Linked DNA regions of Mytilus edulis. The protein of the gene in region 1 interacts with the protein of each later gene in a biochemical or structural test. Links are inferred from orthologs where the notes say so. Each region holds a gene or a part of one and is shown in the gene's direction. Other genes may lie near its edges. The genes, in order: dynamin-1-like protein and mitochondrial fission 1 protein-like.

Region 1 (15,466 bases):
CCGAATCGACTAATCGTACACGGAAATATTTGCCACTGGTCTTTACTCAAACAACAATTCACTCTTCAATGCATTATCAAAAAAGTGTGAGGTAAATTGTATTGTTTGTCTAGTATCTCTGATCCACTAAAATAATAATAAAAAAAACCCAGAAAAAATAGAAATGTAGTGATCTTTAACATCTCAATACTTTTTCTTCGTCTGTAAGCATGCTGCTTCAGCCTACGTTTTCTGTTTTCTAATGCGTAATCAAGACATCTTTAGTATCTTTAAACTACTGCAAATAATCAAAATTGCTTTCATAAAGGAGAAACCACTTAAGTTAAAATAAGGGGGGTATATTTTTTTTTCTGAGTCAGATTTTTTTTTCGCGCGAACGTTTTTTTTCATTTTTTTTTTCGATGCTAGCAATCAAATATTTTTTTTTCAATATTTAACACTATAATGAATGCGGAAACTCTGGATTTAGAATATTTTTTTTCCATCTGTATGAGCAGAATAATCTTTTTATCAAATTGGGGGTCAGAATATTTTTCAAGAAAAAATCCATTCCCCTTGCCTTTTTTTAAGTCAAACGGTCATTCCCTAACTGCTACAAAAGTTGTTCGAAAAATTTGCATTCAGTTCTACGTAATGAACATTTAAATGATATATAGTTAACAAGTGTGAACAAATCTTATGTTCAGGTGATTAAACAAGGTGTATAGATGTGAACAAATATTATATAATGTGAAACCAGTGTACATTACATTAAACTAATTGTAAACATGTTTACTGTACATTTATGTACATGGCGTTTGGTGTGAACACGGCCTTACTCTCACAGAACATCTGAAATACTCCCAGCTTTAATGGCGGTTCATATTGTTGAGACTGGTTTTTTAAAATATGCCTTTCCAGTTTCCTTGATTGTATATTTATCAGTCCCATTGGTTTGATATGTTTTATTCATATGAAGCTGGTCTAAATTAATCTTTGATTGCAAATGGCTGCAAATTATTGGTCTCTTTTTTTTACATTAGAAAATTAAAATGAATGATTTATCTTTTCAAATGGTAAAAAAAATTATGATCATCAATTAAAATTTGAAAAGATATTTAACCACTTATATTTAATAATCTTTTGTTTTCTATTCTGTTTTATGTTGAGCTATAAAAATACTTGAATTTTGATTGAAAGAAGCATTACAATAGTATTCCTAACTGCACAATACACATATCTATAAAAATAAAATTGTCGCCTATTTTTTTTTAAGACACAAAGAACTATTTCATTACATAAAGTTGATACATAAAATACATGTACTGATAAGATAAATTATTGTTACACCTGCTATTCTGAAATAAAATGACAAATAGGTGTCATTCGGTTGACATGTTTCTTAACTGGAGCACATGTTTGGTAGACCACAAACATTCTTACCTTTAATATTTAGTATGTCCATACCAAACACTAGTTTTAATTTCTTTGATACAGATACATTCCTTTCAATTAGGCCACATGAATTTATTATTCAGTACCAGAAAACTTTTATAAGAACTTCACATCAGTTTAAATTTTCAAGTTTTATAGTTTTCAATTTCCACATTTGTACTTTTATAAAATAATAGTACATCAACCTGTTTGATATTATATTTCTTTCACATAAAACTTGATGTATGTTTAAGATTTTAAAGGTTGTTTTTTATTCAGCTGTAGAGCAGGCTCAATCTGACCCCACTTTCAGTGAACCTTAGAATGCATACATGGCTAAGATAACATGGTTAGTTAACAACAGAATGTTTATAATGATAAATGCCAATTACTTCACATTTATTCAACATGATTAAAGTTTAAAAAAAAAAAGAGGTTGGATAGTATTTCTACTATGAATCAGTTCTCTTTTATATAGATGTCTGGTAGGGTCAGTGTTCTAGGCTAGCTTACATAGTGACAAACCATTAGTCCCCTTCCCCTAAAATGAGTCTCTACATTGTATTTCAGACTTTCCTGATTAACAAACTCTTTAATCTTGTATGAGTGGATACCTTTTAACAAATTTTAAAATCATCTATATAAAGAGAAGGCATCATACCAGCAATATATAGTTTACAAAGTCCACCACCCAAAACATATGGACCCTCATTTAAGATTTTTCTGATCATTTTGTACATCCAAGATTTAATAAGTGTAATTCTTCATACAAATCTGAAGAAGATCTGATAAGAAATGAAGGCAATATCTTGACAAAAAGAATTAGTAAGTAATATTTTTACAAGTCTCCTTTTATAACCAAAAGAAAAATGTCCAACTTAATAGTTTTTTTCTGATTATAGAACTAATCTATAGCTTTGATGAGAGGTTTTATTTGAATAGACAGGAACTCATGCTAACCTTCCCTTCATCTTAATGCTGTAAAATCCCTTAAATCCTAGATAGAGCATTGGATTGGTTGATTGGAAGTAGTTTGACTAGAACACTGGGAATCAGTTTACAACATGTATTTGATAGATCTTGTATTAAATAATGTACTTCCAAAAATGATGCAATTAATTGAACTTGATAATGTGTCTGAAATTTAATATCTCAAGTGTTTTATTATTTAGAGACTTTGTCCATTATTTACCTGTAAATAGCTATGCACATGGAAAATAAGAGCTGAATTGTCAGTCCACATCTTAAAACAATTCATTAATTGGCTTATTGAGGGAAAAAAATTAAAACATAAACTGAGAAAACTAAAATCAAATATTGATTATTTCAAAAAAAAATACTGTTTTCTATGATCAATGATGATGTCTCTGACTGACAATTCACAAGATTGGGCTATATATATGAATAAATAATTTATTAAAGTGCAACCTGAATTGCCATTATATAATACATATGATATGAACATTGTTATTTTCAGCCAGCCTTATAGGCTTACGAAGCACTGTCATTTTAAAACATTATTATAAGATCGTATTAAATATATAAGAATTATCTCCCTTTGACATTTTCTGTTTCTGTATTAATACTTGGAATGCAAAGCTATTTTAAACTTTACAGGAACAACAATATTTCAATTTTTATAATGAACTTATAGGACAATTCATTTTTACATCGACAGAGCTCACCTGGCCCATTCATGATTGCATATCATCTTGATAATCATTCTAGCTAGAGGGAAACTTAAACAGTAAAAAGGATAAGCAAGACAATAATGTTTCTATAATATCCACAAATAAGTCAGTATGGTTGATATCATCAGTCATTTTTGTCAGTTGACTCTTTAATGACATTTGTTAAAAGATTTTGCTTAAAATTTAAAATCTATACATGTTACTGTATCACAAACTTTCTAAAGCAAGATTGATCAGCAAGACTACATTTTGTACATTTACAAATAATTCAGCTTGGCTAAATTTTGAATTGACACATTTTAAGAGTCATTGCACTTGAATGAGATTTCTTTTTTCAACTTTGTGATTTTACCTTTTATCTTGATAACTGTAATAGATCTAGATAAGACACATGAAATAGCAAATGTGATCTGCCAGACAAGATTTACAAACAATGATTTTATAACTCCTTATTGGAGTTAACATGATTAATTGCTCTTGAATTAAGATTTTTACCCATTTTTATAATTTATAAGAGATAGATAGAAACTTTACATATAGTAAAATTAATTGGCAAGCTAAGATCTACATAAAAGTTTAATAACCAAAACCTTCAATTGAGTCCTTATCTACTAAGCCTGAAAACACAGTTATTAGGTCTTTCCACCTTTCCGTGGAAAGACCTATTGGATTTCTTCTGATTATTATTATTATTTTTTTTTTTATTCTTCCGCCTAATTCTTTTCTTGCGTAGTATTGATGTTTCAAAAGATGTCGCTTAGATATTTGGAATATGATATCGTAAAGCGTATGCACTTTTAAAACTAACCACTGCGTAACCAAATACTTTACGTTGTAAGAGTTATCTCCCCAAACACTGTTTTTCTTGTGGCCACTACTCCTTCGCAACCATAAAAGATTACGACAAATTTATTTTGCCAAATTGCTCGTTACATCCTCAGGATGTTCTGTTTTATTTTGACCGAAGCCGTATAGAGACTCCATATGAGAGTTAGTTCCCATTTTGTATTTGAAATTTTGAAATGTATTTTAAACTGGAAAACCATAAGTGATAGAGACCTAGGGTCTTTTGTTTTGAGATCATTGGTCCAAAAAAATGAAAATTAGGTAAAGGTCAAAGGTCAAGGTCATATTCTAAATTTTGATTTTGGCCTATTTTCACTAATTTTCATTAACCTTATAAGATACCGACAAATTATTTTTACTAAATTGTTAGTTGCGACATATCGTAACTTATATATTTTTGTTAAAAGGGTGTGTAGACATAAAATGGGAGTTTTTGCCCCTCCTATATTAAGAATTAAACGTAAAGTGATATAACTCATTAACTATACATATTACAGACCTAGGGTCTTTTTATTTGGGGTCCCTGGTTTATGACCTTGAAATATAGGTCAAGGTCATCAGTAAATTTGACGTTCTAGATTTTGACCTTTGCTCAAAATTCATATTTATACATCATTAAGCCATAGGAACTGACATTTTCAACTGAATTTTAATATTTTCATATCAAAATAGATCCTTATTGGTGGAAAGACCTTCAATTGTTCTCTGAACAATTGGTTTTTAATTTTGAAGTGCATTTCTTTAAGACAATAAATGATTTTTTTTTAATCCCACCTGCGCTTTCTCAATAATATTTTTACAGTGTGTGATGTACTACAAATTGTATCAAAATTATTGAAAACTTCATCTGCTCTAACTCAAATATAGACAATTTTAATTAAGGGGGTCTTGAATTCTTTTGACAGCTTCAGACATATTAATTTTTAACCTTTTTCAAATCAATACTTTATTTTAAAATTCATGACCCACAATTTTTTGCAATGGAATTTCATCCTTCTTGCTATTTGAGGCCTAAAACATTAAAAAAAATTTTTTTAAAGGGTATGAAAAAATTGCAACTATAATTCACTGTCGGCCACAGTACAGACTAATGGACTATATTCATGGACAAAGAAATTCAAAAGGACACTTACTGCGTTCCCAGGCATAGCTATTTAAAAATATATTGCTCTTAAAGGGATAATTCGCGATTTTTCACTTTTCATCTTATTATGTTCATAATACCATAAAAAACATATTCCCCAAGTTTTATTTCGATATGAAAAGTAATAAGGGAGAAAATTTGGAATTAATAATTTTATTTTATCAAACTTCCTGACTTATGTGACGTAGTTTAAGTCTTTGAGCATGCCGGGAGTGAAATTAATCTCATTTAAGTCTTGTTCGTTAACCATCTAATAACGCTATTTAAAGCGCATCGACGACTTTTGGTGTAGCTATTAACCAACGAAAAGTAAGTGACAGCCATGCAACTTTTTAAATTAGATTGTAGGATTCATGTTTGGATTTTTTATACGAATTCTAGTAATTAAAGTAAATAATACAATAGAACATTTTTATGATTTTTTTTCTTCAAATACTTTAAACAAACATATAAAACTGACACGATCGATAGTGTATTAAAAAATACATGTTTGTATTCTGAACTTTTTGCTTCATTCCAGAAAACATTTTCACTTGCTTGTACTGTGGAAATTAAATGTGTATTAATTTGTTACACTTAGTGAATGTTGAATGCGTAGTTAAACTCAAGGTAATTAAAAGATTAGCATTATGTAATTCTAATCTTTTGATCTTCATTCAGTGACACCTAGGCGTCACGGTTCAGCATTTCAGGTGTGAACAACATTTCGTATGAATGATATACGGGAGTCAGTTATAGTTATAGACACAGAAATGTAAGAAAAAGAATTAAAATGAATTTACGGGAGAAATAAGGTCGCACAATAACTGGATAGCTGTTGTATATTTTTATATATATATTTTGCATAAGCTCACTTTTAAATGAATTATGACTTCTGATTAGTTTTGTAACGATAAAATACTGAATTATTTTAATTGAATAAAATTATAAATAAAAATAGCCTTCTAAACACGAGTGTATGAACTAAAAATTGTACTTTTTAAAATTAAAATCGCCAACCTTTAATATTTCAAACAGATTGCAATTATATGATTTAGTCCATCCAAAGCGATCTTTATTTACCTATTTAGGAATTAATATTCTCATCAAAATATTTTAAATCTCACAACCCATGCATGAATACTTCAGCTATTTGAAAAAAAAAGATGTTTTAAAAAATTGACAGGAAATTTAAGTTTCCTCTTGGAATGGAATCGACAAATTACGAATAGAAATTCTTTTCAAGTGTGAAAAACGTCAACCAAATTTATTCATAATCGGGAGCGTCCTTATTAAAATAGTCTTCTTCTCACAACGAATAATACTTTAGCTATTTGACCAACAATGTTTAAAAAAAAAGACAACGAATTTAATGTCATCTTAAGTTCCCTATTTTTGAATGTAATTATAAGTCTGTTCAACTGGCAAGAATACCCCTAAAGCGGACAAGCAGTTTATTCTTTAAATTGATGTCATTGAATTTGAAGAAAGAAAATAAATCCCGAAATCAATTTGAAACTTTAATACTCAAAAGTTTTCCTAGAAAATACTCACATCCCTTGGGGTTTATTAGTGTACGTCCAGTTGCATATGTTTTACATGAATGTCGGAACAATTGTGATGATGTCGAATTTCTTCCTTTCATTGGAGAACGATCTAATTGATATATAAATTTGTGATTTTACTATGTTCATAACTTCGATGAACCGAAGCAAGTTATTATATCGACCTGTATTTAAATCAAATTGGTCCTCTTCTTCTTCTTCTTCTTCTTTTGGTATACAATGGTCTATCGAATTCGATGATTACATACTGTTGGCATACGTGGAATAGTCTATTTACAAAACTGTTACCCCAATTTACACAAAATGTATGTTTCTTTCTTATGTTCAATGTATACATGTAATAATTTTAAATTGCGATATAGCTCCGTAACTTTCTATCCAGGCGTAGAAATGAATCGTCGACAAGTGCGTACATTTTTATTAAATCAATATTTCTGGTATGTTCCAATCTGTCCTTTACTATTGACAACGAGTATATATTACATTTTCCCAAATTAAACCTTGGAAAAAAAATGTAAATAGATTTTTATTTTATCAAATCTTTTTTTTTTGGTATTATTTGTATTTTTATAAATAATATTCTTTACACCAGTAATGTTATTTATAAACAAGCGTATGAGTTTAGTAATGGCTATAGTATATTATATCACTTTCGGACACGCAAGACAGAGATGTATATTATACACCTGATAGTTCAAAATGGAGAGTTATAAGTTATCGGCCGTGTACACTGATCAATACCTACAGAAGTGAAACGATGCATGAACTTGCAAGCCCGACAGGAAATCGTTTGAATACCTGGACGTGTCACCTCACACCCCTCACAATACCTTTGGGAGTAATACCTTTAGTCATGCTGGTGATCAGATGAGGGAATATCCGAATTTATTTGAATAAAATTTATTACTTTAAAGAATTATAAACGAATAAGATTTACGAAAACAGTTTTCACGGAAAACTTATTTATGATTTAAACTTTGACTTTTTAACTAATTCCAATATTAACAGTTTAAAAATAACAGACTATGGTTATTTAAAAAAAAATAAGAACATTTTCTGTATCAAGTTAGTTTGTCAGATAAAACAACCGTACGATTGACAAGATATCGACACGCAATTACGACTACATCGGTTAGTGTAGTTTTGGTCCTTTGTGGTTTATAGACATATCGTGATTTTTAATCGGGGAAGACGACAAAATGGCGGAACGCAGAGAGTTGATACTCTAAATTTAAAATCGATGGTGATCTCTTATCTAGCGGAATAAAACTTTAATATCTATAAATTTGAGCATTTCTATATATAGAATGGACATAATATCAATTTTTGATTTTTTTGCGAAGTTTCCCTTTAAATGACAAATTTTACCATTTTGTTTTTTGTGTTTTTGGACATTGGTAAAGATGCACATAGAGTTTAGAAATAAGAGGTTTAAAAATCCTGTTGTTCACATCATTACCTTCTTAATTGAATGGTTGAAACAGTGCCTCCTAATTTTGTCTGCAAAGATTTAGACTGAACTTCTTATTAATAATAACATAAAAATGTATGGCTAGATAATTTTTTGCAACCTCATATGAATGTGTAAAATGCATGTTTTTATTGGAAATGGTAACGCCTTAAAAGCATGAAAACCCATAAAAGAGGGAGGTTTGGAGGGCCCTAATCCCAAAATCCCAGGCTTAAAAACATGAAATCCTGCAGAAGAAAAAAAATCTTGACATTACGAAATTCTCAAAAACAAATCCTGGATCCCGATAACGGTCAATCCGAAAATCCCTAGCATAAAAACACCCCATCATGACGTCCCAAAAAAGATCATGCCCCCCTCCTCCTTTTCCCCTCATAAAAAAATAATTTTAAAAATGCAAAGGGGAGATAATCACTCAAAACATAATTGAGCTTGTAGGGTTATATCAAGAAATTATGAAAATCCATATCATTCTCAATGTTAAGTAGTCGGATTTGAAGGATAGACGAATTAACTAGTCAGTATCACAGCCATATCAAGCTATAATTTATAGCTATAGGTTTACTTGCAGTTTTAAAAAACCTGATAGTTTTTTTCTAAAGATCATATAAAACTTGTAAATTCATGTAAAAAAAACTACTGATACGGACTTTGTACTATTTTAAAAGTTACACCTGTCTCATATTATAAAACTTACAGACATTCCACTAGCACTGCCTTCAGATTCTGACATAATGAGAATATACTACAACAAAAATTAGTAAGCCAAATCTGTCAATGTGTAATACGTCATCCCTTTTGCTGTCTTGAGAAAGATTTTAGATTAAAATAAAAAATCAGAATCTTTTCGGTGAAAGATATATAAAACAGTCAGAATATAAATATTGTTGAAATTAGAAATTTTCATTAGTAATAAATGTTAATAATCTAATGTCACTGAATGTGTATATAAAATGTTTCGGGGTAATTTAAATCATTCTTTTATTCACCTTATAACCCGGAAGTGAAAAAGTGCCGGAGATAATTTTGGAGTTTATGCCCAAAGCGAAACAAGTCAAATGTCCCTGACTGCTGATTGACATTCAAATAGAAAGTAAACCTTTCAGCGATGGAAGGGCTGATCCCTGTTATCAACAAACTGCAAGATGTTTTTAACACTGTTGGTTCAGAGACAATTCAGCTTCCACAAATTGTTGTGATAGGCAATCAGGTGCATGTCCTTAAAATAATTTGTATTTATCTCTGATGTAATTTCTATGTAAACATCAAATAGAAAGTAAACCTTTCAGCGATGGAAGGGCTGATCCCTGTTATCAACAAACTGCAAGATGTTTTTAACACTGTTGGTTCAGAGACAATTCAGCTTCCACAAATTGCTGTGATAGGCAATCAGGTGCATGTCCTTAAAAATAATTTGTATTTATCTCTGATGTAATTTCTATGTAAACATCAAATAGAAAATAAACCTTTCAGCAATGGAAGGGCTGATCCCTGTTATCAACAAACTGCAAGATGTTTTTAACACTGTTGGTTCAGAGACAATTCAGCTTCCACAAATTGTTGTGATAGGCAATCAGGTGGACCGTGCATGGTATCGGGATCGTTCGCCCTGATTACATGTTCGCCCTAGGTTCGTTCGCACTGAGTTTGTTCGCCCTGATAGTCCGTTCGCCCTGGGTTCGTTCGCCCTATATTCATTTATGATATGTATATGTTACATCAATGAACGAAATATATATATATATATTAAAATTTATTTAAATTTATGTATATCTATTAAAAGTTAAATACAGAATATTTGCCAAATTTATATTAATTAAATAAAAGTCTTGGCTGCATTGTTACACTTTATTTTATAATTACTTTTAATATTACTGTTGATTGAATTTTGATTGCTGAGTAGGTGTCATTTGAAACTTTTGATATGTATCAATAAAGTTTAATATATAAATAACTTAGTCATGTTAGTCTTTAGTTGTTTTATGTCAGGTATAAGTCAGAAACTTATCCTCGTAGAAGCAAGACAACAACTTAGTCTTCAGTTGTTTCACACATTTAAAAATACACAATTTACAGAAACTTATATTTCCTAGTAACGTAATTACATACAAATACAAACTTAGTCCTCAAAAACTTAGAGTCCAAAAATGTACTGAAACTTATAACCTTACAGCATGTAAAGCAGCTAGCTTTAGACAATTCAACATGATACATCGTAAATATTCGGCGAAATTGTAGACCGACTTCAACACATTCAATTATATACACACAACGCAACACTATACTTAAAAATAAAATCAGGGCGAACGGACTCAGGGCAAACAGGTATTAGGGCGAACCAGAATCAGGGCGGACGGACCCGGATTCACCGTGCATGCCCTTAAAAATCTTAAAAAAGTGTTTTTTTATTTATCTGATGTAATTTCTATGACAATGATAGTTAACAGTACATTTAAACTTATACATTAAGGATTGTTTTTATATTGCCATAATGCTATACAGTGTTTTCCATTCGGCATTTAAGCCGACCTTTTGAAAGCCGACCACCTTTCGATTTTAGGAGGTGGTCGGCTTTTTTTTTCAAAATCCGGGTATTTTTCGGTTCCGTACCGTTAAAATTTGAATACTAATCCTGCCTTGTTTTTATTGACAAAGATGGCGTCCAAACGTCAAATTTCAATGTTTTCATTTATCAATCGGGGAAAAAGAAAGGCAGATGACGATGATGATAAAGAAAATACTAGACTAAATAAGTTAAATAAAATTGATAGTAATGTTGGAGTTGTTTGAAATTGAACAAAAATCAACCAAATAACGGAAAAGACACGCAAGTGAAGACAAATATGAGCAAGACTTCAAATGACTTATAGTCACAGAGGAAGGATACTACTGTTCTGTGTGCCAAAAATACGGCACAAAAGCAAGAAACAGGACAGAAACCTGGATTGAAAGGCCTTCAATCCATATTGATGCATAAAATTGTAAATGAAAGTAGAGATATAAGAGATAAATTTTTGAAAAAAAAATAAATCAAAGAATATTTGACAATTAATATGACTAGTACTTCTATTTATGTTTGTTTAACTCCATTAAATGTGAATATTATACTACTCTATTTTTGTGACCCCCACGTGCACCCACAGTAAATAAAAAAAAGGTTGGACATTTAAAAAAAACACTCGGTTGCAAGTTATTTTTTAAAACACCCACCTTACCTTAGTGAAAAAAGGAAAACACTGCTATACCTGTGTTAACCATTAAAGAGGCGTTTTAACTCTGCTCTTGACAGCTACATTGGAAAACGTATCTTCATCGACTATAGTATTCCTATTGGCACCAATTGGGGTGCGACTTTTCACCCCAACATACCCCAATATACCCCAATATACCTCAAAAACAGTTTTAACATAACAGTATTGAATAATAACATTATTTTATGCATTTTCATGTTATTTTAACACCAATAATACTTTAATTTATGAATATAATTAATTTTAAATCACTTTTTGCATTGAAACTTGTTCCGTTCTTGTCAGCCGCTTACGATCACAAAATGACTTTTTACCCCAATATACCCCAATATACTCAAATAAAACGTTTCAGTGCAATATTCATGTTGTGGAATGATATTTTACCCATATTTACTTTTAAAAAACAACCCTATGCACCTCTGTGTGTATTTAGAAGCTTTTAAAACTACTGTTAACTCGAAAACTGATAATGGTAACACTAAAGACCAGGACGGACCTGAAAATATACAGGGCAGTTTTAAATAGCTATTTCTTTTTCACTCCTTCAAATTTAAGTTTTATTCAAGAACATTTGTATTTTCATAATTAAATTTGAATCGTTTTTCATACATGTAGATAAAATTAGAAATATTTAATTTTTTTTTGAAATATCAGGGATCTCCATGGATGAAAATTGAACGCTGGAGGAACTTTCACCATTACAAACCGTGTCTACGCTGTACAGTGTAGCGCGATCGGAAGTATTTTATCCCTCCATACAAGGAATGGTGAACATGCTAATTCATTGCTTATTTAAATTATATTTATTTGAATTTTCATTATAGAATTAGAAGTATCAATATTTTCATTTATTGCCGTTTTTAACCATTCAAATGCCAAGTCTTCTTGGTCCCCCCTTAGTTGAGAATGACCAAAAGCTGTCATGAAAGTCCCCATGTAGATTTCTTGTATTTTTGGTAATTGTTATGGGGGTTAAAAATCATATGATGTGGAGCTTATTTTTCATTTACACTGTCAAATTAAGAACCCATTACCGGTATGGCTGATTTGCAGCAACAACAAAACGATTCGTACGGGTTATGTAAAAGGTTAAAGAGATTTGTAAAGCAAACGTTGACAAATGAAAAGGTTTTTAATGACTTTATCTGGCAAATTTATGCTGTGCAACATGCATCTTTCGAGTCTGAATAGAAACCGGAAACGCAGATGTATCAATTTGATTGTAATATACGAAATGAATTCAGAATTACGATACGATATTTCTTTACAGGAAATATTTAAGTTTTTACTTTTAAACTTTTAAAGTAATTCTAAATATTTTGTACTTCTTAAGAAAAGGGAGATGCTGATTGCGTAAGTCAAAATAAAGCACGTGTTTGACTTGTTAAACTGTTCTCTTTGTAACTGGATTATTAATTTATTTATTTAATCTAAATTATCATAATCATTTGCTGAAACTTAGTTGATTAATTGGACAAATAATTCGACAAATGGATCGTCTATCCTCAGATAGTATTCTGTCTGGTTTGTTGATCTACCTGTATACAAGCTCATGTACAAGTGATTAGCGATCTTAATCCGGATATCCCTCAGGCGTTAGAACTGTATTGGATTATAACATAAAAAGCCTAAGGGTTATGCAATTACATGCATTTGATTATAATTGATAACAAAAAATGGCGTCGGGCTACAAAAAACGATGAAGTTTAGAACGATGGCGGAAGACAATTTAACGATGGCGCAAGACAATTTAACGATGGCTCAAGTCATTTGACGATGGTGCAAGACATTTGAATGATGGCGGGGCGCCATCGTTAAACAGGCCATGGAGATCCCTGTTATATGTACGAAGTTTGTTACCACCTTTACCAAATAAAGCTTTCTCTGATTGTAAATTGCCTTGCCACTTTTCGACATATTTACTAAACATTTTAGACATAACAGTATTGACAACTGAGGTACTATCAACATAATCTGTAATGATACACAAATGTTCTGCTTTATACTCAGAAAACGTTTTCCTTACATAAAAATTCCAATTTTTTATACACTTATGTTTTTATACGACCGCAAAATTTGAAAAAATTTTCGTCGTATATTGCTATCACGTTGGCGTCGTCGTCGTCGTCCGAATACTTTTAGTTTTCGCACTCTAACTTTAGTAAAAGTGAATGGAAATCTATGAAATTTTAACACAAGGTTTATGACCACAAAAGGAAGGTTGGTATTGATTTTGGGAGTTTTGGTCCCAACATTTTAGGAATTAGGGGCCAAAAAGGGCCCAAATAAGCATTTTCTTGGTTTTCGCACTATAACTTTAGTTTAAGTTAATAGAAATCTATGAAATTTTGACACAAGGTTTATGACCACAAAAGAACGGTTGGGATTGATTTTTAGAGTTGAGGTTCGAAACAGTTTAGGAATTAGGGGCCAAAAAAGGGCCCAAATAAGCATTATTCTTGGTTTTCGCACAATAACTTTAGTTTAAGTAAATAGAAATCAATGAAATTTAAACACAATGTTAATGACTACAAAAGGAAGGTTGGTATTGATTTTGGGAGTTTAGGTCCCAACAGTTTAGGAATTAGGGGCCAAAAAGGGACCCAAATAAGCATTTTTCTTGGTTTTCGCACCATAACGTTAGTATAAGTAAATAGAAATCAATGAAATTTAAACACAAGGTTTATGACCATAAAAGGAAGGTTGGTATTGATTTTGGGAGTTTTTGTCCCAACAGAATAAGGGGCCCAAAGGGTCCAAAATTAAACTTTGTTTGATTTCATCAAAATTGAATAATTGGGGTTCTTTGATATGCCGAATCTAACTGTCATGACTGTGTATGTAGATTCTTAACTTTTGGTCCCGTTTTCAAATTGGTCTACATTAAGGTCCAAAGGGTCCAAAATTAAACTTAGTTTGATTTTGACAAAAAATGAATCAGTTAGGTTCTTTGATATGCTGAATCTAAAAATGTACTTAGATTCTTGATTATTGGCCCAGTTTTCAAGTTGGTCCAAATCGGGGTCCAAAATTAAACTTTGTTTGATTTCATCAAAAATTGAATAAATGGGGTTCTTTGATATACCAAATCTAACTGTGTATGTAGATTCTTCATTTTTGGTCCTGTTTTCAAATTGGTCTACACTAAAGTCCAAAGGGTCCAAAATTAAACTTAGTCTGATTTTAACAAAAATTGAAATCTTGGGGTTCTTTGATATGCTGAATCAAAAAATGTACTTAGATTTTTTATTATGGGCCCAGTTTTCAAGTTGGTCCAAATCATGATCTAAAATTATTATATTAAGTATTGTGCAATAGCAAGTCTTTTCAATTGCACAGTATTGCGCAATGGTAAGAAATATCTAACTGCACAATATTGTGAAATAGCAATTTTTTTTTTAATTAGAGTTATCTTTCTTTGTCCAGAATAGTAAGCAAGAAATATCTAATTGCAAAATATTGTGCAATAGCAAGATTTTTTTTTAATTGGAGTTATCTTTCTTTGTCCAGAATCAACTTAAATCTTTGTTATATACAATATACAATGAATATTCACTTTTTACTACCAACTGATAAATTAAAATAATCTTTACCATTCAGTGATAACAAGCAGTTTTTTTACATCTTAATATTTTATGATGTATTTAAATGAGTAGTTATTGTTGCAAACTCCATTAGAAATTTTAATTGAGATTAGTTTTGGAATAAGGGAAAGGGGGATGTGATTAAAAAAATTGGGTTCAATTTTTCTCATTTGAAATTTCATAAATAAAAAAGAAAATTTCTTCAAACATTTTTTTGAGAGGATTAATATTCAACAGCATAGTGAATTGCTCTAAGAGAAAACAAAAATTTTAAGTTCATTAGAACACATTCATTCTGTGTCAGAAACCTATGCTGTGTCAACTATTTAATCACAATCCAAATTTAGAGCTGAATCCAGCTTGAATGTTGTGTCCATACTTGCCCCAACCGTTCAGGGTTCAACCTCTGCGGTCGTATAAAGCTACGCCCTGCGGAGCATCTGGTTTACTCATAATGTCTGCCCATATTAAAATTTTTCTGTTTAAACGATCAGAACTCATATTGTTCAAACGGCACTATAG
Region 2 (16,488 bases), on another chromosome or scaffold:
ATATGTGGGGTCAGTAAATTCCATATTGAGTGAGAACAAAGCTGGAATCCCCATATGGTATTTTCTGACCCAATATATATCGTATTAGGTCACTAGCACACTGCGTAACAAATTTATCTTACGAACCATCTTCACATGTGGTATTTTGACTAGTGGCCTATCAAAGTGATGAAGTCTTCAATTGATACTTTGTATTACAATCCTACTTCCTTTTGTCTATACAGAAAATAAATGACAACAATAACAACTTTATAGCTTTAAATTTGTTTTATGAATTTATCTCAATCGTTCATTACAAGTATCAAAATCTTCGTCTGTTGAATCTTTTCAGATTTCTTTTTATGATTTGAAAGGGAAGTAACTCTGGAATGCCAACAGTAACAACTTGTTAACTTTAATTTTGTTTTATGGCCTAATTTCAACCTTTCACCATTAATTTCTTTGTCTGTTGAATCCTTTCAGATTATTCCTCAACACCATGTTGTTTTTATAGTTTGTTTTTTTTGGTTTTTTTTAAAGGGAAGTAACTCCTTACTAACCCTATATGGTTGGTCACCCTATATGTTACTAGCTTGGTCCCCTCTGTAAAAAACAAGTATGCCTTCGGAATATACAAATATTAACAAGAATTTCAATAACGGCCGGGAAACAGACTATTTGGTAACTAACCATGTATTTTTTAGGAAACCCTATATCAAATATGCATAGTCACCATGTGTAGCCCATTAAACAATCATGTCTATAAGAGGTTAGATAAATATTTATATATATAATGACTGCTTGAGCCAGAAATACAAATTATCTATAGTCTTGTATGCAGACTTTTAAAAAAATCAAATATACTGGTACATGCCAATACAATTTAATCAATCCACACATAATGGACATGTATAAGCATGACAAACAAAGAATCCACAGAAAGCTTCTCATAATGAATTGATTGTGTTTTTCCTTTTCCTTGTGAATTCTTCTTGTCTAATCAAGTGCAATAAATGAAAAAAACTGAGATGACTCTTGGAGGAAAAGATTTGTTTTAAATTAAAAAAAAGTTGTTTTGTATTATAAATTGTGTTTTTTGATGATTTTTGTTTGTTGTTCATGTTCAATAAAATCTCAGAAAATGATTTGTTTAGATAGATTTATTTACTTCAATATATATCATGTATATTTAACAAGATGTAATCAAGTGAAATGTGTTTCAAATAAGTTGAAGATTTTTCATTTTAGTTCAATCTGTTTTTTAATTTCTCAAACTATAGTTGTTTTACTGCATTTATTTTACAAATCCAAAGTTGCAAAGCTTGTTTGGTGTTTTTCAAAGTAAAAAGAAATTAAATTCATACAAAAATACATAAATGTGATATGAATGCAAATTTGCCTGATGATCATATGTTAAACTATCTATTTCAGTAACCTGTATAAACCAATAATTTTACTGCATCGTAGTTATAAATCCCTTGTATCATGGAAGTATTATATATCATGTTCAAACTAAAAAGAAGTGAAATTTATTTAAAAATACAGGGATGTGGTATAATTGCAGATGAGACAACTATCACCTGAGTCCAAATGGTGCAGATATAAGCAACTTAATTTAATGTGCTGTGATTAATAGAATTGAGAATAAAAATGGGAAATGTATCAAAGAGATAGCAACTTGACCATAAAGCAGATAACAGTCCATTTAAGAGGGCTAAAAAACTCTTCTCTATCCTGAGACAGTTGTGTAACCAGCTCAACATAAGATCAAACTAGTAAAAACAGTATGAAATGGCTTTCTTGTTGATATGAAAGACAAAAAAGAATCTAACAAAAACTTTAAAGACGCAAAGTACCAATCTATAAAGAGTTCTCACAGTAACTGAAAGCTAGTTCAAAGCCAATAACAACAAAAAAAGAAATCAGTTTCTCTCTGACTAAAGTACATCCAACAGATTTAGTGTACAGACTATAAACCCACTCTGGGGAAACTTCTTTTATTGTTCAATTTATTCTCACTTAAGTATGCATGAACAAATTGCCAGTGGACATTATGTGAAAAACTGAGTCAAGTATAAATCACGAACTCAATTTGCAAAATGTTTAAAAGATGGCATTTGTCTTCTTGTTTTGTGGAGGTTGAAAACTCATAACTCAAGAAAGGAATAATAAACACAACAGTAAATAAAATTGAGAATGGAAATGGGGAAGGTGTCAAAGAGACAACAACCCAACCATAGAGCAGTTAAGGGTCGAAAGTCACCAATATGTAAAATTATAATATAATTATCAAACAAAGATTTTGACAGTTGGAGAGTAGGACCTTAGATAGTCAATAATTGCTATCTTCTACACACAATAATGGGCGACATTAATTAACATGAATAATATGGCTGCCATTATGACTACTGAATGTTACTTTTGCAGAGAAAAATAATTTTGTTTTCAAAATATTACTTTCTGTTATGGAAATTTTTTTAAGTCTAGTGTAATAGATGTGCCTTGATATGCCTAGGTTAATTCCCCTTAATTTGGACAAATTAATTATTTAGTATTTAAATGTTTATTTTAAGTTAAATTTGATTTAAATATAGTAGGATAAAAGTAAAGAATGTTAATTTAACTGTTTTAGTATTTAACTTTTGATGTTTTTATAATGTTTTAAGAATATTCATTTATTTAACTTTTCTTCAGTACCTTTTATGTTAAAGTTAGCCTGTTTAATGAAAAGTTTAGGATATCATTTGATATTCAGTCGGAGTCGGCCTTGCACAGGCCTCCAAATACTCGCCGGAACTAATATTAGTACTAATCGAGTCTAGAGTTAGCCACCACTTCGGTGCAGTTCGCCAGAGTTAGTCACCCCTTTTTGGTGCAATTTTACTACTTTTAAACACAACGCAAAGCAATTTTACTTTATTTTACTTAAAAGACTAACTCTGGGAACACTCTAGTTTTCATTTTACATTTGAAATTACTTTATTTTTGAACTTCATTTAAGAAAGTTTTCTGACTCCTGTTTTATCCGACTTTGTTTAAATTCATGCAATTATTGTACATTTGTGAATAAAATATAGTTTTCATTTGATTAATTGTTTGTTGTTCAGCCATAATCTGATATCAGGTATTCCGATGGTCGAATAGGGGCGAAGTACTGGCCACTACACGTCCCGGGAGGTGTCGTCACCGACCCCCTCCGTTACAAATGGTGCCGTGACCAGGATACCTGATCCCTCAGTTTTGGTTTGAATATTTTTATTACATTTATTTTTGATTTTGTTCAATTTTTGATTTTCAAAATGATGAAGTTTGAACAGAAACCTTGTACTTTTGACGGTGTTAGTGCCGATGTACAAGATTATTTTATTCAATTTGAAGCAGTTTGTCTTTGGAATAACTGGAATTTATCTGAAATGGCTCTTCAGTTAGTAATAAACTTAAGAGAAGAAGCACGAACTATTTTACGTCTTCTTACTCCAACTCAGTTGCTAAGCTATGATTTTTTGAAAAGTTTACTTTTGCAACGCTTTAATCCTAAGGAAAGGATAGCTTTTTATAAATTTCAACTGAATAATTGTACAATTTTGCCAGATGAATCTGTGTTTGATTTTGGACATAGATTCAAACTTTTATGTCATCGTGCATATCCAGATAATTTTCAAAGTATGCAAATTTATTTTATGGATCTTTTTATTGGAAAGTTAGAGAAGGAAATGGCAAAGTTTGTCCATTTTAAGCATCCTGAAACTTTTGATGATGCTATATTTTTGGCTACAGAGTTTGAATGTTTTAATTTGACAGTTGAACCTGTTGAATGTGAAATTAAGGAAAGTGAAGAAAACTGTGATTTTAGTTGTTTGAAGTCTGGTTTTGATCAAATTGTCAAAGTTCTTAAAAAGCTGGTTTATAAGAAGTTTAAAGTAAAAAAATGTTTTAATTGTTTGGTAGTTGGACATATCAGAGCTAATTGTCCCAATAAAGTTTGTAAAAGTGTCAATTCTGTTCATGTTGTTGAACCAGAAAAACCAGTTTCTACTGCAGTTCATAAGAAAGTAAAAAAATCATGCAAAGTTGTCAACAAAGTTCAAAATTTATTTTCATTTGATTTGCAAAGCTGTTTATCTGATTATTTGATTTCTAGCACGGATGAGTTTTCTTGTTTGAAGGATAAGCCAGTTAAAGTTTTCATATAGTATGTTTTTTTAGTTTTAATTTGTATATTTAGTATTTTACTTATTTTGTCACTTTATATTATTGTTTAGTAGGTATGGTTTCAAAGTTTTCATTGGATTTGTTGTTTTTCTTGGTCACGTTAATGAGCCGGTTTTGCCATCAAAACACCCTCAAAACGTTGTTTGATTTGATTGTGTTTTTCTTTAGATGTTGGTTTGTTTAGTTTGTAGCTAAGTTTCTTGTTTGAATAGGTTTATTTATGAGTTTGCTCATTTTTTTGGATTTTTAACCTTTCTGAACAAGTTTTATTGTTTTAAATTTGTTTAGTTTGGTTATGGTTTTCCTTTTGTGACTTTTATAAGTCATGGCAGAAATCTATTGAGTGGCAGAAAGTTTAAGTGTGAAGACAACCACCTGATAAAGTAAGCAGTTCTTGTTATCAAGAGCACCTTTCTTACTCTTTGTACAACGTTTGAACTTTGATCATCTTGAACCCGGAATCACATGTTATACGTGATTCCGTGAGATCTACAATGGTGGACTAAACCTGGTACAACGATAGACTTTTTAGAACCCGAAAACACACGTTTAAAGTGTTTTCGTGAGAACAACAATTGGTGGACTATACCTGGTACAACTTGGACCATGCAGATTATCCGTATTACCATTCCGTTTCCGTTTGAATCTAGAACTGTGTTTTATTGAATGCTGTATAACTGTGTCCGTTTACATTTATATTCTATGGACCGTACTTTATAATTTGTGTTTACCGACTATTCCTGGATGTTTATACTGTGTGAACTTTTCCTATGGTTGGACCGTGTGATTATTTGACATTTTTGTGACATTTATTGACATTTTTTGTGCATTGATTTATATTTTTGTTAATTATTTTGAACACATCTATTTTAAATAAATCTTTTCCCAAATATTAATTTCTTTAATATTTGTCCTAAGGGGGGAGGATTGTAATAGATGTGCCTTGATATGCCTAGGTTAATTCCCCTTAATTTGGACAGATTAATTATTTAGTATTTAAATGTTTATTTTTAGTTAAATTTGATTTAAATATAGTAGGATAAAAGTAAAGAATGTTAATTTAACTGTTTTAGTATTTAACTTTTGATGTTTTTATAATGTTTTAAGAATATTCATTTATTTAACTTTTCTTCAGTACCTTTTATGTTAAAGTTAGCCTGTTTAATGAAAAGTTTAGGATATCATTTGATATTCAGTCGGAGTCGGCCTTGCACAGGCCTCCAAATACTCGCCGGAACTAATATTAGTACTAATCGAGTCTAGAGTTAGCCACCACTTCGGTGCAGTTCGCCAGAGTTAGTCACCCCTTTTTGGTGCAATTTTACTACTTTTAAACACAACGCAAAGCAATTTTACTTTATTTTACTTAAAAGACTAACTCTGGGAACACTCTAGTTTTCATTTTACATTTGAAATTACTTTATTTTTGAACTTCATTTAAGAAAGTTTTCTGACTCCTGTTTTATCCGACTTTGTTTAAATTCATGCAATTATTGTACATTTGTGAATAAAATATAGTTTTCATTTGATTAATTGTTTGTTGTTCAGCCATAATCTGATATCAGGTATCCCGATGGTCGAATAGGGGCGAAGTACTGGCCACTACACGTCCCGGGAGGTGTCGTCACCGACCCCCTCCGTTACACTAGAAACAATATCATTTTACCTGTTTTTGTTGCCCTTTAAAAAACCTGTGTTAACTGAATCATCAAGACTTTTAGTGGTACATATATATTGTATTTTATTTCTTTCACACATGCAAATGATATATATATTATCTTCAAATGGAGTTCTGTGGACAGATTTATTTTCTTGGATTGAGAAAATCTTGCATTTTATTTGTTATTTGGTTTTGTTAATTCGTCAGTTTCTGTATACATTAATGACATTCCTACTATAGAATAAACGGAATTTGTTGAACATTTAAATTCAAGGTTCCCTTCTACTCACGAAATCCATGAACACTAACATTTACAGATAAATAGATATCCCCAAAAATCAAACCATTTCAGAATAAAAACAACTGAAATTACTAATTATTAACACTTATAAAAAACATCACATGGTTCTTAAAAAATAAAACTGTATAAAAGTTCTTACAAAAGTGAAGTGTTATCAAAGGGACATAACCAGTAAATTACTGATCTGAACCACTTTGTTAGAATGTTATAATAACAAATCAAAGTGTTGCCTTATCATTGTGTAAGCAAGAAGATATATTTATCACTTATACTCCTAAGAATGACCACTCAAATGCAAATTATTTTTCTTACATGAAATAATATGTATCAAAAAGTTGGGCTCAATTTTTTGGCTTAATTAAGAAATCAAATATATAGCAATTACTTTAATAGTCTTCATTGAAAAAGAGTAGGGGCAATAAGGCCCTTATTTGGCCCAAAAATTACTGAAAATTTTAAAGTAATCATACATATTGTTAAATTACTGAAAATTTATCTAAGGTATAAGGTACAAACAAAAACACAAAAAAAAATGACATCAACAAGTTACCATGGCAACAAATCATAACCTAATTTGCATATTTTGTTAAATTTCGTGATTTTCCTTGTTTTTTCATCAAATTTTTAAGTATATTTTAGACTGAAAAAGTATGTGCGCACCCAAGAAACAACTTTATATTTGATGAGATAATGCCAATAGTTATAATAAAGCTTTTGTTAAATTATTTTGTTGTTTCTCGGCTGCGCAGGATGTCTCCACAACAGAAATAAAGTCAGAAAACTGCATAATTTCTGTATTTTTCATGGTTTTTGTAAAAACAGTTCATATTATGACTTAATTGTGAGGTCATCAGATACAAATCTTAATGTTTTTCATTTATATTTCTTGACCCTAAGCATTTTTAAACATTATGTGCCAATTTGAAATAGTTATCAAACATTTCATTTTCTTGGGCCAAAACTAGGCCTTATATTGCCCCTACTCCTTTGTTCTTTTTTAAAAATAAGTTAAATTCTGGATAGTTTTCTGGATGTAAAAAATTATATTAATACTTGGTTTCAAAATCAATCTATGAATTACCTGTACTCTGTAGCTTTACTTCAAAGTAAGCTTTATCTTGTGCTATAGGAGCATTTGACAATGCTGCACCTGTTCCACATATTCTTTTACCACTTTTCACAATCACAACATCATTACCTGAAATGTTAAACACATGTACATTTTTACATTTAAGCATAAAAAAATAATTATCAACTAAGCATAAATTTACTAAAATAACAGAAAATTATCAAAAGTATTAATGTAACTTTGAAGGGGTTTCATTGGGGGGTTCTGATCACGGATCCTGCTTACTGTTTTGTCATATTCCCGTATCCCGCTTACACTATATATGTAAGCAATTCTCATTTTTTTATCATTTCCAGGGTACCGCAAGACCTCATTTCCCGTTTTCACGCCACAATAATTTGACTTTCACATGTCACGCTTACAAAAAATCAGCAATTTCGCATCACGCTAATAGACCCCAATGAGACCCACTTTGAATTTTGTATTATAATAAATTTAAAAACAGCTTTCGTTTTCTGAATCAAATTTTTATAGGTAGTTTCTTTAAACACATAAAACAATTTTAAGGTGACAATTGACATGAATGTATCCTTCCTTAAGATTGTTTATAGCTTGTTAAACTAATATATTTCTATATTTTTTTTATATAATTAATTTACAAAAAGATCTTTAAGATACCTATATGGTGGTTCTTATTAGGATCAAAGTCTGTTGCAGGATTCACCCATTTTTCTAATGTGTGACAGAAACAGAAACAATGTTCGGCGTAAATGTAAAATAATATATATCACAAGTGCTAGTAGTAGTATTGCAAATTATGATAGGCATGATAAGTGAGACACATGATTCTGACAAAACAATAAGCAAGTTTAGGATCAGAACCCTGAAGTAGTGCCTGAAGTGAGCACTATATATCTTATCATTGTTGATAGAATTTCCTGTGATACAAACAAAACAAAAACTAAATTATTTTCAAAAAATTTAGTGATTTACCCATGTGATTTGTGTCAAGTTGTACTGTTGGAATTTCCTTCAAGGGTATATGTCCTGAATTGCCATTTAGCATTCTTAAACAGCAAAGACATCTTGTAAGTGACATTTTACTATATTACTAATTTTGAATCAAAATATTGTTTTGATGTGGAAATCCGGAAACTAGTCTGAAGGTAAAGTTATGTTTTTAAACTGTAAAGACAAATTTGTAATCTTTAACATAAATCGTTGCCTTATATGTCAATTTTAGAGACTTGGTAACATCATTTGTTCTTATCTTATTCTAAGAAAGACATTATTTTGGATGAAATGTGTATTTTCCATGACTGCTTTATATTCGTTCCATCTCGGAAAGTGGTCTAATTTTATGTTTCCACGTAAGCGCAATCTTGCTAATGTTTTAGGACAACTTATTGATATGAAATGTGGGAAAGCGTTTAATTGACATTGATTTCTAGAAATGGATCGGATTGTGAACGAAATTTGCGACGAAAATGACTTAAAGGTACGAATAAATGTCTAGTGTCTCTTCATACATTTGACCAAATCATGCAATATGGATAGAATATATGAAGGGAAAATAAACATACAAAAAACCTAAATTATAGTGTTGTCAAAGAAAGAAGGAGCCAGAGAGAAAAACACACAGTGGTCAGTGACCAGTCAGGGGACTTACTTAATGAGTGATTTAGAAGAGTGATTTTCTGAATCACTGATTCAAGTAACATTATGTTCATAAAGGTTGGAAGTTAGAGTTGTCTCTCTTTAATAATCACCTATTTAAGTAGCACAAATTAATCACTAGAAGAAGTGATTTAATCTTATTGTAGCTTCAAATATAGAATACTAATGATTCAGGGACTAATTATGTTTCTAAACTTATCAGAACCAACATCTGTGTTGTCTAGGATGACCAGGTGTTAAGAATTGCGCTAATATTAACGTACCTTTTTGCGGTACGGCAGCTATCTTTGTGACGTCGCGTTATTGTTATACTTTATGTTGTATTGAATAGAAACGTATAATGGCAGACGTAGTTCTATCTTTAACGCCTTAGATAACTTACGATAAAATACACAACGCAATATTCTACATTGGTGCCGTGACTTCAAACGGAGAGAATGGACATCAGCCGATTAAAATCCTTGAGAGCGGGGAACAAAGCAGCAGTAACAAAAGTTTTCAAAAAACTGGAGGAAGCCATCGGAGATTCACAAATAGACACGGAGGAAGTATCAACATTGCTCGAAGCAATTGAGAAGAAAAAGAAGACGTAAGCCTCAATAGATGAACAGATATTAAATGCAGTCGAATCAGAAGATATTACAAATGAAATTCTTGAAACAGATGAGTATTATTTAGATTTAGAGGGTAAAATTCGAAAATTTAAGAAGTTCTTAAAGCCCGTAACAAACGCAACATCTTCTATACTAGATTCAAACGCACCAGAGTTTGTTCTGTACACAAACCCCTTCACTCACACAAGTCAGCCATTATCTCAGTCAAGTTCGACCTCAAGTAATAACCATCGCCTACCAAAGCTATCTCTTCCCAATTTTAATGGAGACATTCTACAATGGCAATATTTCTGGGATTCATACGAGACCACGATTCATCACAATCACACATTAACTGACATTCAGAAATTTTCGTACTTGAACTCATTGCTTCAATTTGAAGCTGCAAACGTAATTTCAGGATTGACCATGACAAATCCAAACTACCACAAAGCAATTGAATTATTGAGAAACCGCTATGGGCAACCACATAAAATCATAAATGCATATATGAGAGCACTACTTGATATACCCGCACCACATGATACATTAGAAAGTTTGAGAACATTTCATGACAAATCAGAAGCTTACATACAGGGTCTAGAGTCTCTTGGACAATGTCAGGAAATGTACGGATCGCTATTGATACCAGTAATTCTCGGGAAGATACCGCATGAAGTATGAAAAAATATAACACGAGAAAACGGGAGCGACAGTTGGAATATTCAATCGCTTAGAAACGCGATAGGTAAAGAGATTTCTATTCAAGAGTCCGGATACGGAGATTATACGCAGACGTATTCAACCGCCACTCCTAGCGCAAATTTCATAACAGGCGTTAAACGAGTAACTACAGATAAAACCCGTCCGATAAACACAACAGACAAATCATTCAACTCGAATCGGAAGAAACAATGCACATATTGTGACGGAAACCACTGGCCTAACGAATGTAAAGATATCATAGATCACGATAAAAGAGTAGCCATTATAAAGGAAAGAGATTATGCTTTAATTGTTTAGGTAAGCATAAAATAGCCGATTGCAAATCCAAGAATATGTGTAAGTGTTGCCACCGGAAGCATCACTCTTCATTATGTAAACAGAACTCGTACTGAAATAAACATCATATTGAAACTGAACAATCGCAAAATAAAGTAGACACAGAAACTTCTATGTTGTATACCGCTAGCGAAGAAAGGTCCACTGTTTTACTGAAAACCGCATTCAGTCCAGTCGTTCACAAAAATACATGTACACTGTATAGATGTATTTACACATAGAATACTCTTTGACGAGGGAGCTCAGCGCTCATTTATAACGGAAGAACTAGCAGCTAAATTGGACATTAAAAAAGAAGGTTCTGAAACATTAAGTATAGCTACATTTGGAAGTACTACAAAAAAGGTGAGAAATCTTGACAAAACAACAATTAATCTTAACTCTACCGAAGGAGAATTAATCCCTATTAAAGTTTTAATTGTACCAACCATTGCTTCACCACTTCAAACTCACAACATAGGAATAACGCAGAAGTTTTCTTATTTACGTGGTCTACAATTAGCACACCCAGTCATGGATGGAGAGCAATTTGAAATATCCTTATTAATTGGAGGTGATTTCTACTGGGACATAGTTCAAGACAAAATAGTGCGTAGAAACGGTCCAACCGCAGTTAGCTCGAAAATTGGATATTTACTTTCCGGTCCTGTCCCTACACGAACCAGCAATGCATCTTTCTCAATGATGAATATACTAGTTTGTCACAAACAAGAAGAGTGCGATCTTGAACAATTTTGGAAGCTTGAATCGTTGGGAATTGACGTTAAAGAACAAAATGATCCAGACCTAGCTGAATCAATTGAAAATTACTTACAAACCTCTATTACGAAGAAAAATGATAAGTATATTGCGAAATTACCATGGAGAGAGAATGCGCCAGAACTACCGACAAATAAAGACATCGCAAAACGCAGAACGGAAAGCGTTATTCGTCGACTGAAGAAGGATCCGGAGATGTTCCAAAAGTATGGTGAGATAATTACAGACCAAGAACAAAGAGGATTCATTGAAAAGGTATGTGATGAAATTACATGCACAAACAAGGTTCATTACATTCCGCATCATCCCGTAAAAAAGGATTCAGTCACCACCCCGATACGCATAGTATATAACTGTAGCTGTAGAGCGAACGACAATAGCCCTTGTCTTAACGATTGCCTAGCAACATATCCACCAATTATGACTGATTTGACGGAGATATTAGTACGCTTTAGAATGTACAAATATGCAGTTACAGCAGATATTGAAAAAGCATTTTTGCATATTGAATTAGATGTTGATGACAGAGATGTCACAAGATTTTATTGGTTAGAAAATCACATGGACACAGAAAGCCGTTTGATTACTTACCGGTTTAAAGTTGTACTTTTCGGCGCCACCTGTTCGCCATTCATGTTAAGCGCCACACTAATGAAACATTTTAGAGACAATCCGTCAACTACATCAACTGAATTACAGAGAAACTTATACGTGGATAACGTTCTGACCAGTTTTACAGATGAACAATCACTTTTGAAATTCTACACGGAGTCAAGAAAATTATTGTCAGAAGCAGGATTCAACTTACGGTCTTGGAATTCTAATAGTACGGAATTACAGAACGTCGCAGGACTAGACAAGATCGGCGACAATGACGACATAGTCAAAATTTTAGGCATGAGATGGGATAGGGAATCCGATGATTTGAAATTTCAACAGATTGAATTTATGGAAAAGGACAAAATGATAACAAAACGTGAGGTTTTGCGCACATCGTCTAGAATTTTCAACCCCCTTGGATTAATCACGCCAATTACGGCGAAAGCTAAGCTGTTTATGCAGACTAATTATGGAAGGCAAAGTTGGATTGGGATGAATGTTTGTCCGACAAACTGAGAAGTAAATGGCAGGTAATAGCTTTAGATATCAAGGAGGCTACCAAAATAGTATTTCCACGAATGTTAACGGAAGGAGTATTTAACGAGAAAACGTCACTACATATTTTCACAGACGCCAGTCAGTTAGCATACGGAGCTTGTGCTTACTTAGTTACAGCAAATTCATCGATCCTTGTCATGGCTAAAAACAGAGTAGTACCCGTTAAACCGATTTCATTACCACGTTTAGAACTTATGGGCGCGCTTATCGGCGCCAGATTAGCAACGCATCTTCTTAAAGTCATAACAACAGAACATGTGTATATGTGGAGCGATAGTCAGATTGTTTTGAGTTGGATTAAATCGTCAAAAATATTAAAACCGTTCGTAGAAAATCGACTTAAAGAAATACGAAAATTAACAGAGAATGCTGAATGGAATTATTGTCCAACAGATGACAATCCAGCTGATTACTTAACTCGCGGAATTTACGCTTAACAACTTTATAACAACAGCTTATGGATGAACGGTCCACAATGGATTTTAAATCGTAAAAATTGGCCGACATGGACAAGGAAAATTGAAGATTGCAGCACGATGGTAACTGTTAGTGATGAAAATACAGAAGATGAAAGTACAAATGCTTCAACACAGACAATTTCATGTATAGATATACAACGATACAGATCTTTAGAAAAAGCAATTAGAGTAACAGCATACGTCTTGCGCTTTATACAGAATTTACGGAACTCAAGAGAACGAACAATCGGATTTATCAGTGTTGAGGAGCGATGTAAAGCATTAGAAGTTCTAATAGTAACAGCACAACAGCAAACATTTAAGGATGAAATTGAAAGCTTGAATTCATCTTCACAGAAAAAAGTGCAACTTGTTCGACAACTTAAACTTTATACAGACAAAAGCGGATTACTACGTTGTACCGGGAGAATACAAAACGCACCTGTTAAGGAGAGTACTAAATATCCGTTGTTATTGCCAACACACCACAGTCTTATGTCCTTTATCGTAATGGATGCACACACAAAGACTTTTCATGCCGGACTTAACAGTACAATCGCATATATTCAACAGAAATATTGGATACCGAGAATAAGACAGTGCGTAAAATCACAAATTCGTAAATGCGTTCAATGCATTAAAATATCAGGAATGCCTTACAGCGCACCCGATCCGCCACCGCTTCCTAAAGATCGAGTCAACTACGATTATCCTTTTTCAGTAACCGGCGTTGATTTCACAGGAGCTTTGTATACAAAAGGAAAACACAACGAATTAAGCAAAACATATATTTGTTTATTCACTTGCGCCGCTACACGAGCTATACACTTGGAGATAGTCACAGATTTAACCGAGGAGTCTTTCATGCTTGCTTTTAAAAGATTTGTCGCTAGAAGATCTACACCAAGGATTATGTTGTCCGATAATGCAACAACCTTCAAGGCAGCCGCCGAAAAGATTACAAGATCAAGCAAAGACAACCGAATACAAGAAAAACTTGCCGATCAAGGAACTGAGTGGAAATTTATACCCAACCGAGCACTGTGGTTTGGAGGCTTTTGGGAAAGCCTAATTGGACTCACGAAAAAGTCAATTAAAGTAATACTAGGAAAGTCATGTGTCACTACGGAAATGTTGAATACAATTGTAATCGAAATCGAGGGAACTCTAAATAATCGTCCTATAAATCACATTTCTACTGATATTAAAGATCCCGAACCGCTGACGCCAGCGCACCTGTTATATGGTCGTCGACTTGACAACCAATCGGAACAGAATATTGACAGTGTTACTTCAGAAGACTTGCACGTGAAACTGAATAAAAATCTACAGAGAAATAATGAACTAATCAACCATTTTCGCTCAAGATGGAAACACGAATATCTGACGTCACTCTGAATTCCACCGTACATCTGGAAGAAACGAACAAACAATACAAATAGGTGACATTGTACAAGTACACAATGACACAAATCGAATAATGTGGAAATTAGCAGTTGTACAAGATTTAGTTCGTGGAAAGGATGGACTCATTCGATCAGCTGTTATCAAGACCGACACAGGAATTACCAACCGTCCGATTGTGAAGCTCTATCCGTTGGAAATACGCAGTACACATGATGACAGTGAATGAACTTTTCTGCCCTGGAGAACTTTCTGCCCTGGAGAAATTAGTGGATGTATAGACTGTTCAATTAACTACGGTTATTATATAGACTTGTGAAAGTGTTAAATTATTCAGACGTGAACAGTTAAAAAACTATTGAGAGACTTTAACTATGATTTTATTTCATTTTATGTCACAATTTACGAATTTTTCATATTGTATTTCAAATTTAAGTTAAATATCATTTTCTGCGGCCCCAGAATGTTAAGAATTGCGCTAATATTAACGTACCTTTTTGCGGTACGGCCGCTATCTTTGTGACGTCGCGTTATTGTTATACTTTATGTTGTATTGAATAGAAACGTATAATGGCAGACGTAGTTCTATCTTTAACGCCTTAGATAACTTACGATAAAATACACAACGCAATATTCTACACCAGGTCATGTCAGGTGATGAACTTGTAATGAATTTAGGACAAGGACATAAAAATCACTTGTTTAAGTATCATACCTCAATTTCCTTCCAAATAATCACTTCTTTAAGTATGTAAGTATCATTATTCTAATAACCCCCACTAATTTCAACACCCCCAAACAGTGAAATTTTTATCGCGAACAGTAGATTTTTATTACATAATCTGAAAGATGAAACCTTGAACTGTACAGGAAAAATCTGTTAAGAAAGTATCAGTTCCTTAAGTAAGGCCATTATTATAGCATTTTATCCACTAAAATAGAATTTGCAGCTAAATTATTGCACCAAAGGCATAAACCTTTCTACTTAAAAGAAACAAAAAGTTCATTTTTTTTCAATTTTACTAATGAAAAGATATTTATCTAAACCTATGTGTTTAAAATTTTAGTAAAACTACAAAATCACAATTTATGACAAAATTTCGAATTTGCTACTTAAATAAGTGATTTAAAAATCACTCATTTAAGTAAGTCCCCTGACTGGTGACAGTGTACAGAACTGTCACTGTCAGAGAGACAGCAGTTCACAAAAAATATACTGCATTATTACACATTTAAAACCTTTTAAGGTTCACAACCCTGACCAAAAATGGGACTATATACACATATGCTCTGATAGCATTTATTGGATAGTGAAAGAGTTAAAAAAAAAAAGAAAAAAAAGAAGAAGAAAAGCAAGGCTAAATCTTTCAGTGACAGTGTGTAGTTAAACACAAGTTTACATATAATACACCTTATCGCTATTTAGAAATCTGTCAGTCTTAAACTTTTGATGTCATATTAACATACAGGCATACTTGTTGTAATTTTCTCCTCTGTAACTCCCCTTTCTCTACTTTCTGAATTTTTAATTTTTTCAGAAATTTCAGATCTTATATCAAGAGCAAGTCAAACGAGGTGTTGTTGATGAAAAAGCACAATTTGAATATGCTTGGTGTTTAATCAGGGGTAAAGCTCACTCTGATACAAAGAAAGGAATTGCACTTTTAGAAGGTAAAACTATTAACCATAGAAATATAGATGATATATTTAAGGTGTTGTCTCCTTAAACCATGGACTTGTTTTCATTATAATTATGGCAATCTTCCATTGCAAATACAATGTACTGATTAAAAATTGAAATACAGAGAATATTGGAGAGATTAATGAATATTGAAGGACAGATTCCAATTTATAAACTTATACATACCGTATACATGTTTTTTTTTCAGATTTATTTAGAAGAATAAAGGAAGATGAAGGAAAAAGAGATTATTTATTTTGTTTATCACTTGGATATACAAGGTTAAAAGTGAGTATTATTTATATTATTTTTTTGTTAGATGGTTTAAATTTCAGGTTTTAAGCAAGTCAAAAGCCTGTGTTTCAGTGCTTGATTGTTGCTGTATATATTTGTTGTTTCATTTTGTACATAAATCAGACTGTTAGTTTTTTAGTTTGAATTGTTTTATATCTGTGTTTTTTTTTGCCTTTTATAG

Evidence for each region.
Region 2: the proteins of dynamin-1-like protein (region 1) and mitochondrial fission 1 protein-like form a complex in vitro, tested with the Homo sapiens proteins (2 studies listed by BioGRID). The link is inferred for Mytilus edulis from reciprocal best matches to the Homo sapiens genes DNM1L and FIS1.

The regions. Positions count from the first base shown.
Region 1 is NC_092344.1:87,706,290-87,721,755, reverse strand, and holds the start of dynamin-1-like protein, read left to right. Parts: upstream 1-9,096; 5' UTR 9,097-9,217; coding exon 9,218-9,319; intron 9,320-9,535; exon of another isoform or gene 9,536-9,584; coding exon of another isoform or gene 9,585-9,686; intron 9,687-15,466. Other genes in the region: CXXC-type zinc finger protein 1-like, read right to left, coding at 8,807-8,842. UniProt on the Homo sapiens protein: Functions in mitochondrial and peroxisomal division.
Region 2 is NC_092346.1:45,785,635-45,802,122, reverse strand, and holds the start of mitochondrial fission 1 protein-like, read left to right. Parts: upstream 1-8,601; 5' UTR 8,602-8,674; coding exon 8,675-8,719; intron 8,720-15,870; coding exon 15,871-16,003; intron 16,004-16,221; coding exon 16,222-16,301; intron 16,302-16,488. Other genes in the region: SPRY domain-containing protein 7-like, read right to left, coding at 7,234-7,350, 8,215-8,320. UniProt on the Homo sapiens protein: Involved in the fragmentation of the mitochondrial network and its perinuclear clustering. Plays a minor role in the recruitment and association of the fission mediator dynamin-related protein 1 (DNM1L) to the mitochondrial surface and mitochondrial fission.